Linked DNA regions of Caenorhabditis elegans. The protein of the gene in region 1 purifies or fractionates together with the protein of each later gene. This does not show direct contact. Each region holds a gene or a part of one and is shown on either strand. Other genes may lie near its edges. The genes, in order: ttr-5, pinn-1, pqn-74 and arf-1.

Evidence for each region.
Region 2: the proteins of ttr-5 (region 1) and pinn-1 fractionate together in Caenorhabditis elegans (co-fractionation; one large-scale study listed by BioGRID). This does not show direct contact.
Region 3: the proteins of ttr-5 (region 1) and pqn-74 fractionate together in Caenorhabditis elegans (co-fractionation; one large-scale study listed by BioGRID). This does not show direct contact.
Region 4: the proteins of ttr-5 (region 1) and arf-1 fractionate together in Caenorhabditis elegans (co-fractionation; one large-scale study listed by BioGRID). This does not show direct contact.

The regions. Positions count from the first base shown.
Region 1 is NC_003281.10:9,328,532-9,331,429, forward strand, and holds ttr-5 (Transthyretin-like protein 5), read left to right. Parts: upstream 1-1,784; 5' UTR 1,785-1,785; coding exon 1,786-1,930; intron 1,931-1,975; coding exon 1,976-2,112; intron 2,113-2,157; coding exon 2,158-2,214; intron 2,215-2,262; coding exon 2,263-2,343; 3' UTR 2,344-2,397; downstream 2,398-2,898. Other genes in the region: cepr-104.1 (CEntrosomal Protein Related), read right to left, coding at 1-557, 675-835.
Region 2 is NC_003280.10:2,884,951-2,890,513, forward strand, and holds pinn-1 (Peptidyl-prolyl cis-trans isomerase), read right to left. Parts: upstream 4,058-5,563; 5' UTR 4,056-4,057; coding exon 4,001-4,055; intron 3,954-4,000; coding exon 3,880-3,953; intron 3,772-3,879; coding exon 3,645-3,771; intron 2,415-3,644; coding exon 2,308-2,414; intron 1,565-2,307; coding exon 1,442-1,564; 3' UTR 564-1,441; downstream 1-563. Other genes in the region: Beta-1,3-galactosyltransferase sqv-2, read right to left, coding at 4,272-4,353.
Region 3 is NC_003282.8:13,328,992-13,333,435, reverse strand, and holds pqn-74 (Chitin-binding type-2 domain-containing protein), read left to right. Parts: upstream 1-2,029; 5' UTR 2,030-2,062; coding exon 2,063-2,105; intron 2,106-2,185; exon of another isoform or gene 2,186-2,187; coding exon 2,188-2,344; intron 2,345-2,402; coding exon 2,403-2,505; intron 2,506-2,557; coding exon 2,558-3,029; intron 3,030-3,078; coding exon 3,079-3,452; intron 3,453-3,608; coding exon 3,609-3,653; 3' UTR 3,654-3,929; downstream 3,930-4,444.
Region 4 is NC_003281.10:5,714,525-5,718,097, forward strand, and holds arf-1 (ADP-ribosylation factor 1-like 2), read left to right. Parts: upstream 1-1,590; 5' UTR 1,591-1,591; coding exon 1,592-1,739; intron 1,740-1,812; coding exon 1,813-1,923; intron 1,924-2,022; coding exon 2,023-2,231; intron 2,232-2,316; coding exon 2,317-2,394; 3' UTR 2,395-3,020; downstream 3,021-3,573. UniProt on the Caenorhabditis elegans protein: Small GTPase involved in protein trafficking between different compartments. Modulates vesicle budding and uncoating within the Golgi complex. In its GTP-bound form, triggers the recruitment of coatomer proteins to the Golgi membrane.

The DNA.
Region 1 (2,898 bases):
GAATAACTCTCCGTTCTGGGGATCTTGTGGTTGCCTTTGACGTCATTCTTTGATCTCCATTATCATTATTTCCTCTGTTACTTTGCCTACTTTCAGTTTTTCTTCCTTTTGGTGTTTCAGCTCTTTTCCTAGGTTTCATAGGTGTCATTGGCTTCCAATCATCTGATGGCATTGGATTCTTATCAGGTGTCCATTTTGAATTGACTCCAAATGCTTTCATAGTTCCATCTTCCATCATTAAATCTGAATATGCATTTCTGATTGCATCAGACTTCACTCTATCCATATCCTTTGCTATCTGTTCAGCCTGCCGTGAGTCTCCTCTGACAACTGCGTCGCTTCTCTTGTGACTCAAATCGACAAGTTGTTTCTCGGCTTTTGATAGATCATCACAAGCTGATTGGCACAAATGTGATTTGACAGGTTCGTCCTTGTCACGATGCTCAAGGGACATGACTCGGAGATTGTTACGGAGAGTTCGGACTGATGCCAATGGATCGGCTCCAACATCTGAGCTCCGTTCGTCGTAGCCTTGCATTTTATACTCATTTTTGGGTCTGCAAGGTATCTAGTGAGGTAACGGATCATGAAAAACTGCACGATGTCTAGGATTTTGAAAGCTATTAATACAACTGACTTCTGACAATGAATCCAGAAATCAAAAAAGTACTTACAATCCATAATCTCCAATCTCTTTCTTCTCTTTTTCTTTTTCTTTGTCTATTGGCTTGAATCTTCCACCATTCCTCGAGCTCGCACGACTTCCCATTCCAGCAGCATTCCGTCGTTCTTTGTAATCGTCGTACTCCAGATCAAAGTTCCTAGATGACGACATTGGGGGAAGAATAATAGTTGTAAAAAAATATTTTGAAGAAAGTTTGGAAAGAAGGACGATGCTTGGAGCTAATCTATAATTCCCTTTTCTTTACATTTTTTTTGTTGGGTGTGTTACTATGGAAAGGAGAATAATGAAATGTTGAAAAGAAACAAATATACTAAACAAAAATTATATCGAAGGTTAAAGGAAAGCAGGTGTTTTGAGTAATACATTCTTCAATTAAACACTTTCAGGCGTAAGGAAGGCATGCAACAGGCATGTAAATAAGAATGTTAGTTGGGAAATATGATGATCGTGGGTCTGTCTACCTAAGAGCCTGCATGTTAACCATTTACCTTCGTACATGCCTATTCTGACCTTTCTCTTTGCCGGATGTTTGTTTTTAGGTTTTGGTCATAATGTTGACATCAACCTTTGGCATATCTTATTGAGTTTGTTCTCTTTGTATTTTTTTTCATACAGTTTCGGATACGTTTTCCTGGCTAGAGTTTCCCAGGTATGACTACTTGTTTGATTCTAATTGAAAGGTCACTTTTGTTTTTTATGTTTTTTAATGAATTAGTTGGTGTTTGACTTGTTTACAATTGTCTGATACACCATTTGTTTTGAAAATGATATACTTTGAGGTAACAAATAATCAGATCATCTCTTAGTATATTTTCTCGTACAGGTGTATATAAATTGATTAAATCTACTTATTTTCCATGGAAACTAATACAATTTGTGGACTACAACCACACTTTTCTGTCAAGCTTTTTTTTTATCAAAAAGATATATAACAACAAATCTCTCTTTTTTTCCGAATTATCTTCTTTTTCTTATCTTTTCCTGAGATTTCGTAAACATGTTGTTTTCTGAGAGCATAGCTATTGGTTCTTTGTTGGTTCCATTCTTCCATCCCGGCCTTTTTTACTTTATCATTTTGTTCTCAACAAAAGAATTTCAGAATGAAGCTTATAATCCTTTTGTGCCTTGTTGCCTCAAGCTATGCTTTAATTGGAAATACCCAATCGGCTGGAGTACGTGGAAAACTGATCTGCAATGGAAAACCAGCTGTTGGAGTTTTGGTCAAGTTGTATGATGATGATAGAGGTAATCAAAAACTTTTTTGAATATTTCCTAAAAGTCTATTTCTAGGAATCGATGCCGATGATTTGATGGCTTCTGGAAAGACCAATGGCAACGGAGATTTTGAAATTTCTGGACACGAAGATGAAGTGACTCCAATCGACCCAAAACTTAACATTTACCATGACTGCAATGATGGAATTAAGGTTTCTGGATGACTTTATTACATTTTAAGATAATTGAATTTTCAGCCCTGCCAACGCAAGTTCACTATCAAGATCCCAGATAGCTACATCAACAAGGGAAAGGTAAGAAGATTAAAAAAACTGGAAGTAAACTGAAATTAATATTTTCAGACTGTCCGTAATATTTACGATGCCGGAGTCATTCAACTTGCTGGATCTTTCCCAGGAGAAGGACGTGACTGTCTTCACTAAACTTACCAACTTATATATACTCTTTTTTCTTGAAATAAATCTTTTTAAAATAACAATTTTGGATTGCAACTTCAAATTTTTCAGAGAAAACATTTCGATCCTATTTTCTATAAAAATAAAGTATAACTGGAATATTCAGGAATGCAATAAATATAGATATTTTCCCTATAGTGCAAGAATCACAGGGGATACTGCAATCCTCGAAAACACATTTTATCCGTGATTTCGAATTTTAAAAAACTCATTGAAATATTTAAAATCATTCCTAGAAGATTATCGTTGTAAATTTTATAAATACCACCAATTTGTGCTGGATATTGAATTGAATTTTTTTAATATCGACAGTAATCTACTACGGCCAACAATTTTCGTACCGTCACTTGGTGTAATGTCCGCAAACACCACCACGTCGGAATGCACAAACTGGCCAACACGCATTCTTTTTTATTGTGTCTTCTTTTTTCTTTTTTAAAGTTATAAATATTGACGTTATTTAAAGCATAGAATTGTGAGAGAATGGAAAAACGCATCTAAATACTTTGAAATATAATATTC
Region 2 (5,563 bases), on another chromosome or scaffold:
TTTGAAAAAAAAAATTTTTTTTTTGAGTGTTTTTTAAACTGAAATTCCTTAAATTTTAGGCAGTTTTCAGCAAATTTTATTCAAAAAATAACAAAAATCTGTTAAATACCTTTTTTTTTAATTAAAAACAATTCTGAAAAAAACCTAATTTTTTCAGACATTTTCTGCCAGTTTTTTCTGAAAATTCATAATTTTTAAAAGTATTTTTATCGAACTTTATTCCAAACTGAATGAAAATATAATTTTTAAAATTAATTTCAGACAAAAATTTGAAAAAAAATAACTTTCGAAATTTTTTTTTTCAGAAAAAAAATTCAAAAAATGGTTTTATTTTTCAAATTTTCATTTAAAAATTCTTTAAAAGATTTTTTCAATTTTTTCAGAAACATTATTTAAAAAAAACGATTTTTTTCAAAATTACAGAGAAAAAATCAAAAATATTTTTTTCAAAAAATTTTCTAAAAATATCTTATTATCTGTGAAAATCACTAAAAAATTTTTTTTTTTAATTAAAAAAAAATTCCATTAGGGCTGAGACCCATATATTCCACAAAAAAATGAAAAAAAAATTTTCATCGAAAAAAAAATACTATATGGAAATTTAATCAAAGGTACATTTTGCAAATAAAATTCAAAAAAAAAGTAGAGAGCGAAAAATGGGGGAAAAACTGAGATATCTGGAGGAATAGCAGCGGAAAAATCAATAAATTATCGACTTTTCAATTTAAAAAATCAATAAAATATCGATTTTTTAGGGAAAATGGTCAAAAATCGATAGATTATCGATTTTTTAGTGAAAATACTGAAAAAATCAATAAATTATCATTTTTCGCGGAGAATTTCAAAAAAAAAATCAATTTTTTTAGTCCAAAAAAAATCATTAAAATATCGAATTTTTAGTAAAAATTCTTTTAAAAAACGATTTTTCAATAAAAAATCAATAAATTATCGATTTTTCAGTGAAAATGGTCAAAAATCGATTTTTTAGTGTGAAAACTCTCAATAAAATCAATAAGTTATCGATTTTTCAATAAAAAAAATCAATAAAATATCGATTTTTTAGTGAAAATTCTATAAAAACCGATTTTTCAATTAAAAAAATCAATAAATTATCGATTTTTTAGTGTGAAAACTCTCGATAAAATCAATAAAATATCGATTTTTCAGTGAAAATACCGAAAAAAAAAATCGATTTTTCAATAAAAAATCAATAAAATATCGATTTTTAGGGAAAATTCTTTAAAAAAATCGATTTTTCAATAAAAAAATCAATAAATTATCGATTTTTCAGTGAAAATTCTATTAAAAATTGATTTTTCAATAAAAAAATCAATAAATTATCGATTTTTCCAAGAAAATGGTCAGAAAATCAATAAAATATCGATTTTTAGTAAAAATACTGAAGAAAAAAAACAATAAAATATCGATTTTTCCAGGCAATTTATTTGATACGATAGATGAGATGAACACCGGATGAAGTATCCACAATATCAGACATTTCTCCAATTTCCAGTGCAAATGAGGCGTCTTCGAATGGTTTCTGCATTTGACGACGTTCGAATGGCTGAAAATTTTAGAGTTTTTGGGTTTTTTGGGGTGAAAAAATCGATATTTTTGAAGATTTTTTGGAGGTGAAATTAGCTGAAATTGCAGGTTTTTAGGCGAAAAATTGACCTTTTTTCAAGTTTTTAGAGGAAAAATTGGTAAAAATGAATTTTTTCGCAGTTTTTCACGCAAATTTATAGCTAAAATATTATATTAAAATTGATTTTTTTTCCCTGATTTTCAGGGTAATTTTACAGGCAATTTTTCGTGATTTTGTCATAAAATTCGAAGAAAAATTGTATTTTTCGGAGCATTTTAAGGGTAATTTTGATATTTTTAATTTTTGAACATTTTTTTGTGAATTTTTGATAGCAATTTACAAAAAAAACAAAGTTTTCCGTGAAAATCGATTTTTTTTCAGACTTTCGGAGATTTTTCAGGTTTTTCATATTAAAATCCAAGAAAATTGGGGCTCTTTTTGACGCTTTTTCAATAATTTTAACAGTTTTCAATGGATTTTCGACAAAAATCGGACGTTTTTGAGCTTTTTTCACCCGAAATTCGACAGTTTTCTGGGCATTTTTCACTTTTTAGAGGTTTTTAGGCTTTTTTTCAGCTATAAAATCGAAGGAAAATTGTATTTTTGAAGCTTTTTCACACAAAAATTTCAGGAAAAACGACATTTTTCAACAAAATTTGAACTTTTCAGGGCAAAAATTTGCGTTTTTTCGGTACTTTTCCTCCGCCCGGCGGTTACAGTACCCCAAGATCTCCGCCACGTTTTGCCGAACTGCAATCGCTGAATTGTTTGGCGAGTTCACGGAATTTTCCCTCAATGTTCGACGCATCTTTCAGCTCCTTTTCGTAATCTGAATGAAAAAATATTGATTTTTAGACCAAAAATTCCGATTTTTTAGCTTAAAAATCATTGAAAAATTGGAAAATTCGGCGAAAATATACTTTTTCTGTCGAAAAATCGAAAAATAGAGCTATTTTTCGATTTTTTTTTTAGTAAAAAACCTGCAAAATGCAGTTTTTAGCCGATTTTAGACACAAAAATGAAGAAAAATCGATGATGAAATCCAATTTTTCGGCTAAATGTGAGAAAATCCGCAATTTTCAGCAAAAACCCGGGGAAAATCGATTTTTAGCGCTGAAAATTGAATTTCCGCGCGAATTTTTAGGTTTTTACTGTGAAAATGGGTGATTTAGAGCTTTTTTGGCCATTTTTCCGCGAAAATGCCAGATTTTAGGCTGAAAATTAAGAAAACGTCGATAAAAATCATTTTTTCTGGAATTTTTGCGGCTAAAATTCAGGAAATTGGCAATTTTCGGCTCATTACTCTGAAAAATCAAAATGTTTCTCGGTTTTTCAAGTGATTTTTAAGGAAAAAATGCGAAAAACCGCAAATTTCCCGAAATTCTCGTTTTTTTTATACAATTTTTAGTCAAAAATTTCATTTTTTTAAAGCAAAAAACGGCAATTTTAGTGCTTTTTTCGGACAAAAACGGTGAAAAACTGACTGAAATGCCGATTTTAGGCTGAAAAATGAAGAAAAATCGATTAAAAACCCATTTTTCCGGGTAAAATTAGAGAAAATCGCATTTTTTTGGGATTTTTGAGAACCAATTTTTCATAATAAAAAACAATTTTTAGTGCTGAAAATCCGCATTTTGGGGGTTTAAAATGTGAAAAATCCGGATTTTTCCGAGAAAAATTTAGTATTTGAGCTAAACAGCCGAAAAACTTGCCATTTTCATGAAAATTTCACTAATTTTCCGCTAAAAATCAGAAAATTGGCAATTTTCGGGTTAAAACTCTAAAAAATCGTAATTTTTCGGGGTTTCAACGCGATTTTTCAATTAAAAATCGGTTTTTTGCGCGGAAAATTGGTCAAAAATCAGAGAATTTGCTTTTTTAAGAAATTTTCTCGAGAAAAATCGAAAATTTCGGCTAAAAATTAAATTTCCGCACGGTTTTTCAGGTTTTTAATATAAAAAATTGGCGAAAATCCGGTTTTTTTGGCATTTTTTACAGGAAAAACACGTTTTTCGAGCTAAAAAATCCGATTTTTCACGAAAATTCCGCAAATCCGCACTTTTGAGGATGTTAATCGCGTCATCCTTGGATCTTGTGATGTGATCGGACCGCCAAGACGATGGATTACGGCTTCCATCGTGTTTTACGAGCAAATGAAGGCATTGGACGGATTTTAGCTCGCTTCCCTGGAAAAATATCGATTTTTGCGGGGTTTTTGGGTGAAAAAACGCGAAAAATCACGAATTTTGAGTGATTTTGAGCGAAAAATCAGCTAAAAATTGCCATTTTCTCACTTTTCCAAACGCCGACTCGTCTGGGCGCTCCCATTGGCTGCGGCCGGTGGCCGTGTTGAAGTAGTAGACGCGATCTGGAAAAATTATCGATTTTTTTCGCAGAATTTCGCGAATTTCCAACCATTCGAGCGGCTCTGACGCTTTTCCCATCCGGCTGGCAGCGAATTATCGGACATCTGTGAGAATGTATGGGTTTTTCTGGGGATTTTGCGTAAAAATAGGTATTTCTGGGAAAAATCAACGATTTTTCGGGGGGAAAAATGAATAAAATCGGTTTAAATGTGGAAAAATGCAATATTTATACGAGAAAGACAATTATTATGCGCGGAAAAACCGTAGAAATCTGGAAAATTGGCCCGTATTCAGTAAAAAATGCGATAAAATGCAATAAATTATGGAATATTCGATCCGTTGACTCTTGTACAACATTCGCTGGGTGCTTTCGAGAAATCGTACACGTAGGATGGATGTTTTCTGCAAGAAATTGGTTAAAAATTGGTGAAAAATGATGGAAATTGATTAACGCGGCCGAGAAATCGATTTTAGGCAAGCGCGCTCTATGGAGAATCGGTCGTCGCGGCCACGGAGTCCTCTCGGAGAAGAGGTGAATTAATAATTTCGCGAATTTCGCATAATTTTGGCGATTAAAAGGGGTTTTTGCAGGTTATTTCCGGTTTTTCGATGGGAAAATTGATGAAAATTGCATTTTAAATACGAATCCAGCAAAAAACAAGCGAAAATTCGATTTTTTCGCTGTTTTTTCCCGAGAAACTTCGAAAATGGCTTAATGTTTCGCCGACTTTCTAAAAAATCGGCCTATAAATGCGAATTTTGCAATTTTTCGAGTGATTTGGCGCAATTTTCGCACGAAAAATCAGTTTTTTGGTCGAAAAATGGAAAAATTGGCAAAAAATTGGAATTTTTCGGGGTTTTGTACAAGAATGTCGAAAATTGGACGATTTTCGGTAAAAATCGACCATTTTTATCCGATTTTTCCAATTTTCCGGCCGATTTTAACACAAAAATCTGGTTTTTTTGCGGAAAAACCCAGAAAATGGCCAAAAATGGGTAAAAATTGCGAATTTTCTAATTTGTCCAGCAGATTTTGGCAATTTTTAGGCAAAAATCTGAGAAAATAGCTTTAAAAAATTGGTGAAACTTGTGAATTTTCTAATTATCCGAGCGATTTGGCAGTTTTAGGCTAAATTTCGGTTTTTTGGGCTGAAAATTGGTGAAAATTGCGATTTGTCCAATTTTCCGGGAGATTTTGACGATTTTTTTACTAAAAAAACCCAAAAAATTAGCGAATCCGGGGCAATTTTTTCGCATTTTTCACAAAATCGGCTTAAAAATTTCCGAAAAAAAAGGCGATTTTTCTAATTTTTCGAGCGATTTCATGGGTTTTTTTTGGTGGAAAAATCCAAAATTTGGCGTAAAAATTTTGTCAAAAAATTCAGTTTTTCGAAAAATGGACCATTTTTTCCGATTTTTCTTAGGAAAAAGTGAATTTTCCAATTTTCCGGGCGATTTTGACGATTTTTAAACCAAAAATTCAATTTTTTTTTGTTTTTAAATTCAAAAAATCCAAAATTTTAAGGCTAAATCCTTTAATGTTAAGGCCAAAATTTTGATTTTTAGGCCAAAAAATCAAAATTATTTTTAAAAAATCTTAAAATTTTTTTTT
Region 3 (4,444 bases), on another chromosome or scaffold:
AGCCGGCGCCAAACTAATTTAATTCAGCTCAAAGATTGCTCAACGTGAGTCTAAAGACAATGATCTGAACACAGAGAGGATACTACCTGTGTCAGATAATCTTGTTCACAGATAAATGAGTGCCAATGCATGGTGCATCGAGAGATAAAGAAAAAGAGATGGCACTTGACGGAGCCGCCGCCGCGAGCACATGGATGACCGAGTTGTGCCGCGCGGGCGCGCGGATCTCTCTCTCCAAGATATCATTTTCGTTGTTCTCTTCTCACAATCCAACAGGAGCAACAAGCAACATACATACCCCCATACACAAACGGACCCGTTAGACTGTTGAAAAACCAACGAATAGAGTCACTCAACACACATTGTTCGCCTCCCCCCTCCTCACTTGCTCAACTGATGCTTCTTATTGCTCCCAACGGACGATTGGAAGGGCAAACTGGAATAAGATGATGCGCAGGAGAAGCACATGCGGACGAGACGCGGCGTCAACGAGCTCGCGCCCTCCCTCCTTCCTCCCCTCACCAACCTTTTTTTCAATTCTTCACTAATTGTTAGACAGGAGGGGTGGATATATGAAGTGCATATTATACGTACATCGGATACACACTGAGAACTAGGCGACGGGGGGGGGGGGGTGTTCTTCGGAGACCAGAGATTACGGGAAACCGATCCGTGTCTGGAACTTTGGGGGCACGAAAGAAACTTGAGAGAACAGGCTCTAATTGTAGAGCACATGCATGTCATACAGCGAACATGTTTGAAGTTTTGAATACAATTGATATACAAGTTAAATAAGCAGCGGACATCAATCCAGGTTCGCTATTGAAACGTGTGCCAGATTTTCACAAAGTTCGCCTAATTTGAGCACAATGTAAACGAACATCCGAAAAGTTCTCAATGTGCACTGACTAGGTCTGAACATCGAAAAATCGAGTTTTTACGCATTTTTTTCAATTGCCGGAAAATTTCAGTTTTGCAAAAAATATTTCAAGATTTTTTTCCTGAAAAAAATCAAAAAAAATCTGAAAGAATAGCGTTACGTCTCCATGGGTTTCCGAGACGAACAAAATTTTTTTCTATATGAGCGTGCGCTACAGTAACCCGCTCTTTTTTTTGGGGGATTTTTCAAAAACGTTTTTCTACAGAATAATATTTTGAAGAAAAAATGGGCAGTACTTCTTACTGTACTTCTGTACTTCTTAACGGCGCAGATACTTTTTGCGCGACCTCAATTTGAAAATATTAAGTTCGCTTTGAGAGTAGATCCTGTAAAAATTAAGCGTACTGTAGATTTTTTAAACATTTTAAAATCGCTTTTATAATCATCAGAAACAACAATTATCCATTTTTACGAGCGAAAATTGGCAATTTTAGACGATTCAAAAATTTTTGCAATATTTCATTTAAATTCCCAAATAATTTTTATGAATTGTGAAGTGATTTTGTACCGTAACCTTTTGTTTCCAGCTATCAAAAATGATGCAAATCAGAGAGAAAAGCTCAAGTAGAACGACACAAATAAACTTGAGTCAACAAGAACCAAAAGATGAAATATCTAGCGTCTAGAAGCTTCTTTTCCCATAACCTTCGGCCTTGCTTGACGCCGCAAAGCCAAAAAAGAGACTTGTAGTAGTGTAAGAGAACCAACTACTTAAACGGTTTCTGCGAAAGCATGCTCGAGTACACTACTGTCTGTAGTAAGTTGCCAATTTGCACGGACACACGGGTTTTGTTTGTTTACTCTGACAAACACAGTTTTTGATTTTCAAAAAATATGAACATAGAAAGCAAGAGAGAAGAGAGGGGGTATCAATTCCTATTGTAATCTTGTTAATCTATTTACAAGTATTCGCGGTGAGAAGTGGGTCGACGGGTGCGCGTGCGCTCCTCTCTCCGCATGCCATTCCACTGATGAGTTCCGGATTAGGGCGGGCTGAGAGAACCGCCTACTTCGGAGAGGGCGCGGGAGCCCTCCCCAGGTGTGCTCCAGAGCCAAATCGTATAAAAGCGCGACGAGTTTGCCGATTGAGCATCACACTAGCTTCTTCTCACTCATACACACATGGCGCGCTTCCTCCTCATTATCGGATGCGCTACTCTCGCAGGTTTATCACTTTTTTCTGATTTTTTAACAATTTTAACATTTTGTTTCATTCTTCCTTGATAACCTTTTCCATTTTCTTATAGCTCTCGCATCTTGCGAATCCAAGAGTGGTGAGGAAACTCCACAATACTGGAGAGCCATTCTTGGTGATATCTGCCAATTGCCATCGTTCCCTAGAGCCACTGGTGATCCAACCCGTTATGTTGAATGTGTTCGTCAATCCTCATTTGCTGCCGATAGGTAAGCCATTTTGATACTGAATACCTTTTTACCTTCATCCGCCTTCTCACATTTCCAGAAAAGATCTCGGAATCTGGCTTCTTCGTGAATGCCTCCCAGGATACGAGTTTGTTGCCTCCGCTCGCCGTTGTAAGACTGTCCGTTCTGTCAACAAACAACAAGTAATCCTTTACCTTTCACTCTTCAACCTTTTGTTTATCTTCTTGTTTATAGGAACTTTGCGAGTCTGCCAATGCCACCGAGTACAACTTCTGCCCAACTGCCTCGGCCATGCAATTCCTCGTTGAGGAGACCCGTGAGGCTCCAAGACAGTGCGCCTGTCCAAATGGAGAGCAAAACTGTGTCTGCCCATCGCCGGAAATCCTCGAGCCAATCTCTGCTGTCAAGAAGGTCCGCAGATCTGCCCAGCAACAGCCATTGAGATTCTCCCAATACCCATCATGCCCATGCCCACAGAACCAACCAGCCTGCACATGCTCTACCAACAATCAGCAGAATGAGCAGATCCTTGTCTCCATCTCCTGCTGCCAACAACAAGAGACCACCACCCAGGCTCCAGTTCAGATGCAACCATGCCAGTGCACCCCAACCCAAATTCAACAGAACTGCCAAACCACAACCACCCAGCAACAATACTGCCCACAACAATCTGCTCCAGTTGTCCAGCCACAGCCATGCCCACTCGGTAAGATCTTATGGTTCTAGAATCTACAATCTAAACCTTTCTATTTCAGTCCAAGGATCCGGAGTTCAAAACGCTCAATACCAAGGAATCTGCTCATGGATGATCGACCCACTTGCCACTGACCCACAATCCCGCACTCACTACCTTCAATGCCAGCCAGCTCCAAACAACTTGTTCTGCGGAAGATGGCAACGTATGCCATGTGCCCCAGGAACCGTCTTCGACGTCCAATCCCAAGTCTGCGTCTGGGACACCAACAGCCAGCCAGGAACTCTTCCAACTCCAGCCCCATACGTCTCCACCCAGGCTCCACAGAACGCTCAATGCGGATGCACCGGAGGAGTTCAAATCGGATCATGCAACCAAAACTACCAGTGCCCAGGACAATCGGTCTGCCAAGTCGGACAAAATGCCGGACAACAGGTAAGAGAGTAGTGTCTAGAAGCAAGAGATCGGCAACCAATTCAACCGGTTTCCGTTCTTGTGTGTGGCAATTGAGACGATTACAATAGGGACGGGGGTGTGTAAGAATGGGGAGGGAGGCTCGAATAGATCATAAGCAAACGAACACTCTTTCAGTGCATGGTTTGCTGCTACTTCCGCAAGAAGGCCCGTCGTTTCTAATCGATCGAACATCTCACACACATCATCATCGAACCAAAAACTGCTACAATCTTCTCGCCTTTTTGTATATACCGTGAAGAAAACAACAATCATGAAACGGATACGCATAGACAACCATAATTGTACCGCCTAGTTTGCCCTCACTTTTCCCCCGTCTTCCCCCAAATCCCCAATCCTTATTTGTATTCCGAATTGTCCAATGTCTAGGGTTTTCTCTCCAATGATAACTATTATATAACTTATGATGGTACTTCAATAAATATATATTTTCAATACTTTTCTGGTTTTTGTCTGATACCCCGGATTTGCAGTGATTTTAATGGTTTGTTCAAATATTTTAAACTCAAATACTTTGCTTATTGGAAAAATGTTTTCAACTAACAAAGTATTGACGAAAACTTTTTCTACACTTTGGATTTTTCAAAATTATACAACTCTGTTCCAGAAAAAAAGCTACAGCAGCTGACATCAGGCGGGTCGGTTTTTTTATTAGAATTTCCAAGTATCTAAACGCTTGGTGTTTTCATAAAACAAAGTTTAATAAGAAAATAATTTTCGCAGTTTTCTACTTTTTGCAATTTGTTTGTATTTCATATGAATCTCAAATTTCGAAATACATTTAATAAACATTTAAATTGTTATTGGTTTTTTAGTGGAGTACTTAAGCAATTATAGGAAGTGCAAATTGCAAAATGTAAAAAACTTTGTGGAGATAATTTTCTTAGTGTACCTTGTTTCATGAAAACACCTAATTTCAAAGGTACTTATTTTTAAATGACAACAAGCTTATT
Region 4 (3,573 bases), 3.6 Mb from region 1:
CATTTTTGTTGTTTGCATTATTTCTATCGATATATCTCATTGATGAAAAAGCCAGCAAAAAAGAGCAAAAGAGAGCAATAACTCCACTAAATGAGAAAAATAAAGTAAAAGAATACATAATGGCTGTGATCTCGAAAAAAAATCAGCGAAAGAATAAAAGACGGGCCACTGAAAAGTGAACGAGTACAAAAAGAGCCCCTCCCGAGTGACGAGTAAAAAACGAGTTAATTTTCAATAAAACACAGGTATTTTTGCGGAAACCGGTGTGTTTTCGTCGTATTTAGCCGTGAATTGCCAGAAAATAAATGATTTTAATTTTTTTTTTCTTTGTTCTTTCTTAACTTTATTCCTCCAATTTTTCTTGCTTCGACGTTGCAATCGTCACATTTTATCTTTGATTTGATCGTCATTTCATTTATTTCCGAATTTGAACGCAAAAAGCTCGAAAATCAAGGTTTGTGACTCCTAATAATTACTGCAGAAAGTAAGAAATTCTCGGCATTTTGAAAGGCGGAAAGATGAACTATCCTAGATTGGCGCAAAGGCATTGATCTATACTGTCTGCGGCGGCCGGTTTCTATTAAGCTTTCATTTTTCTCCAGCACATTCTTCAGAAGCGCCACATTGCTTTAGTCGGAAATGCGGGTCATCTATTTAGAAAGTTTGGCGCTTTGTATTTGATTTAATATTAATTTTCTCATCTGATTCTATTTATTAGTCACAGTATCTCGTGCTGCACTCTTGTGACACGTGTCCTTTTTTCAGAGTTTTTAATTGCGTCACGATTTTCAAAATTTCTCAACAATGCGCTCGCGTTCAATAGGTTTTTCTTCTCTCAAAAAGCATTTTTCATCACTTTCTTAATGTTGCAGTTTATCGTCTTATCACTCGAAAAAGTTTGTTTCAAAGTTCAAATTTTAGAACTTTCGGGTTCATTCAATCAATCAATCAAGATTTCACTGAAGGATTGAAAGATTCAACGTACGGCTGACGTGGAGTCAGTAGAAGGAACTCGAACATTACTATTCTCGTTCCTGTGTGTATGTGTTCTTCATCCTTCCGTCCTGCACTAGCGGACAAATTTGGACGGTCTCTTGTTCTTTTTCGCTCTCTCCTCATCTCTTGCGGTACTTTCACGTCTCGGTCTCTTCACTTATTGCCATCTATCTCCTCTTATTCGACCGCTGCGCAACGCACGCGACGCGCCCAGCGAACAAGACAAAAAGCAGCGTCGAGAGGTTGAGAGAGGAAGAGACACTCCACTGGTCGCCAGAGACTGCTGTGCTAGTGACACGTTGGACGGTGTAGCCGATGTATTTCTGCTGGATTCTCGCTCCTTGCGCCTGTTATAGATATCCATCTCCTTGCCACGTTTTACCCGATTCTTCCTCCTTCCAATCGTCTTCCGTACTTTTTTCTCCGATTGTCGTTGCTGGCATTTTCACGTATTGGATTTGAAATCTTCCCGAATTTTTCGCAATTTCCCACGAAGATTATTGATTCAGCTTTCACATTTTATTAGCGTTCCTTTTCACTTCCATCGGTTCCTCTTCTGAAATTCAATAATTTAATTTATTAATCAATTTATAGAATGGGAAACGTGTTCGGCAGCTTATTTAAAGGCCTCTTCGGCAAACGGGAGATGCGTATTCTGATGGTTGGATTGGATGCTGCCGGAAAGACTACGATTTTGTACAAGTTGAAGCTGGGCGAGATTGTCACGACTATCCCAACTATTGGTGAGTCATTGGGACGTTTTTTTGTTGCGAAAGAACGGTTCACAATGAGTCATAATTTTTATTCATATTTCAGGATTCAACGTGGAGACTGTCGAATACAAGAACATTTCATTCACCGTGTGGGATGTCGGAGGTCAGGACAAGATCCGTCCACTCTGGAGGCATTATTTCCAGAACACACAAGGTTAGTGATTTACGAGAATAGTTTGCGGATCAGCTTATCACCCGCAAGAATTCACAGACTGTCCAAAAAAAATGCTCTATTGATTATATTTTCTTGCAGGACTTATCTTTGTTGTTGATTCCAACGATCGTGAACGTGTTGGAGAGGCTCGTGAAGAGCTGATGCGTATGCTCGCCGAGGATGAGCTTCGTGATGCCGTTCTTCTGGTCTTCGCCAACAAACAAGATCTTCCACAAGCCATGAACGCCGCTGAGGTCACTGACAAGCTCGGGCTCCACTCGCTCAGAAATCGATCGTGGTATATTCAGGTGAGATATTTTTAATCAGCAGTTTCTCATCTGATATTTTAAAACTAAAGAAATTCACTATTTTTCAATAATAAATTAATTCCAGGCCACATGTGCGACATCAGGAGATGGTCTCTATGAAGGACTCGATTGGCTCAGCAACCAGCTCAAGAATAGATCTTAAATCATTTTTCTGAATCCACCTTCGACGAATAAACGACTACGAATCATCCGTTTTTGTTATTCGTTTCAACTCCTTTCTTCTCCCCATTCATTCTCTTTGTTCTTCTCTGTTCCATTTGAAATTCCCTCTCCCATCCCTTAGGCTTTTTAATTTGATCACCATCGCCCTCTTCTACTTTTTCAACCCAATTTTTATTTAAAGCCCCAATTCATTTGTCGTCTATTTCTTCTTAACTTCCAAATCCGACATTTTTTCTTATCCGATTACATTTGGAACCGCTCCTGACGGGAATAATATGTAAGTTATTCATTGTTTTTCTCTCCATTTTTGACCTGCTCCGCCCTCCATCTCCCTCAAATATTCCCTGAAACAGTGTTGTGTAACGAGAAGAAGTATGAACGTGTTTCTCTTCTCTTGTTGAACCATTATTCTATTTTTGTGATTTTTGCGCGTAATTGCACACAAACCTACACACAAATCTCGTTTTCATCGTTCCCTTCCCCTCGAACCTTTAATTTCGCTTCTCTTCTATTTCGTATCGAACACTGTTTTGCTTTTCCTCAATTTTTCCGTATTATAGTATCATATTCACCATTTTTTTTGTCGTGGAGTAAATTATTATGTTATATTCACCTGTTGATAATGACAATATGAAAGTATGAAAATGATCTTTTTCCTCAATTTGGACAAGAAATGTTAATTTTTAAGGGTAATTTATTAACACATGAGGCGTTATACTATGTGCAAAAATTTTTAATACGGAAAAACTAAATTCTGGAATTTCGTATTGTGCAACTTGTCTGGCGCACAGATATCACGTAGCGAAAAATACAGAAATTATTTACATTACTACTGTAGCCATGGTCTGATTTTGCTTTGTTCTTTTTCACTTTTTGACTCGGAATGACAGAAAAAAGAAAAATAGGATGAAATTCAAATATTTCGGTCACAATTCGAAAATAAATTATGTTCTAAAATCGAGCCCGTAAATCGACACAAGCGCAACAGTAGTCATTTAGAGAATTACTGTAGTTTTCGCTACGAGATATTTTGCGCGTCGAACATGTTGCTCAATGCGCATTCTCAGTGTTCACGTAATACACTGAAAATACAGTAATCCTACAGTGCTTCTAATGTACCCTGATACTATTCCCAGACGTATTCCAATTCATAACCTCT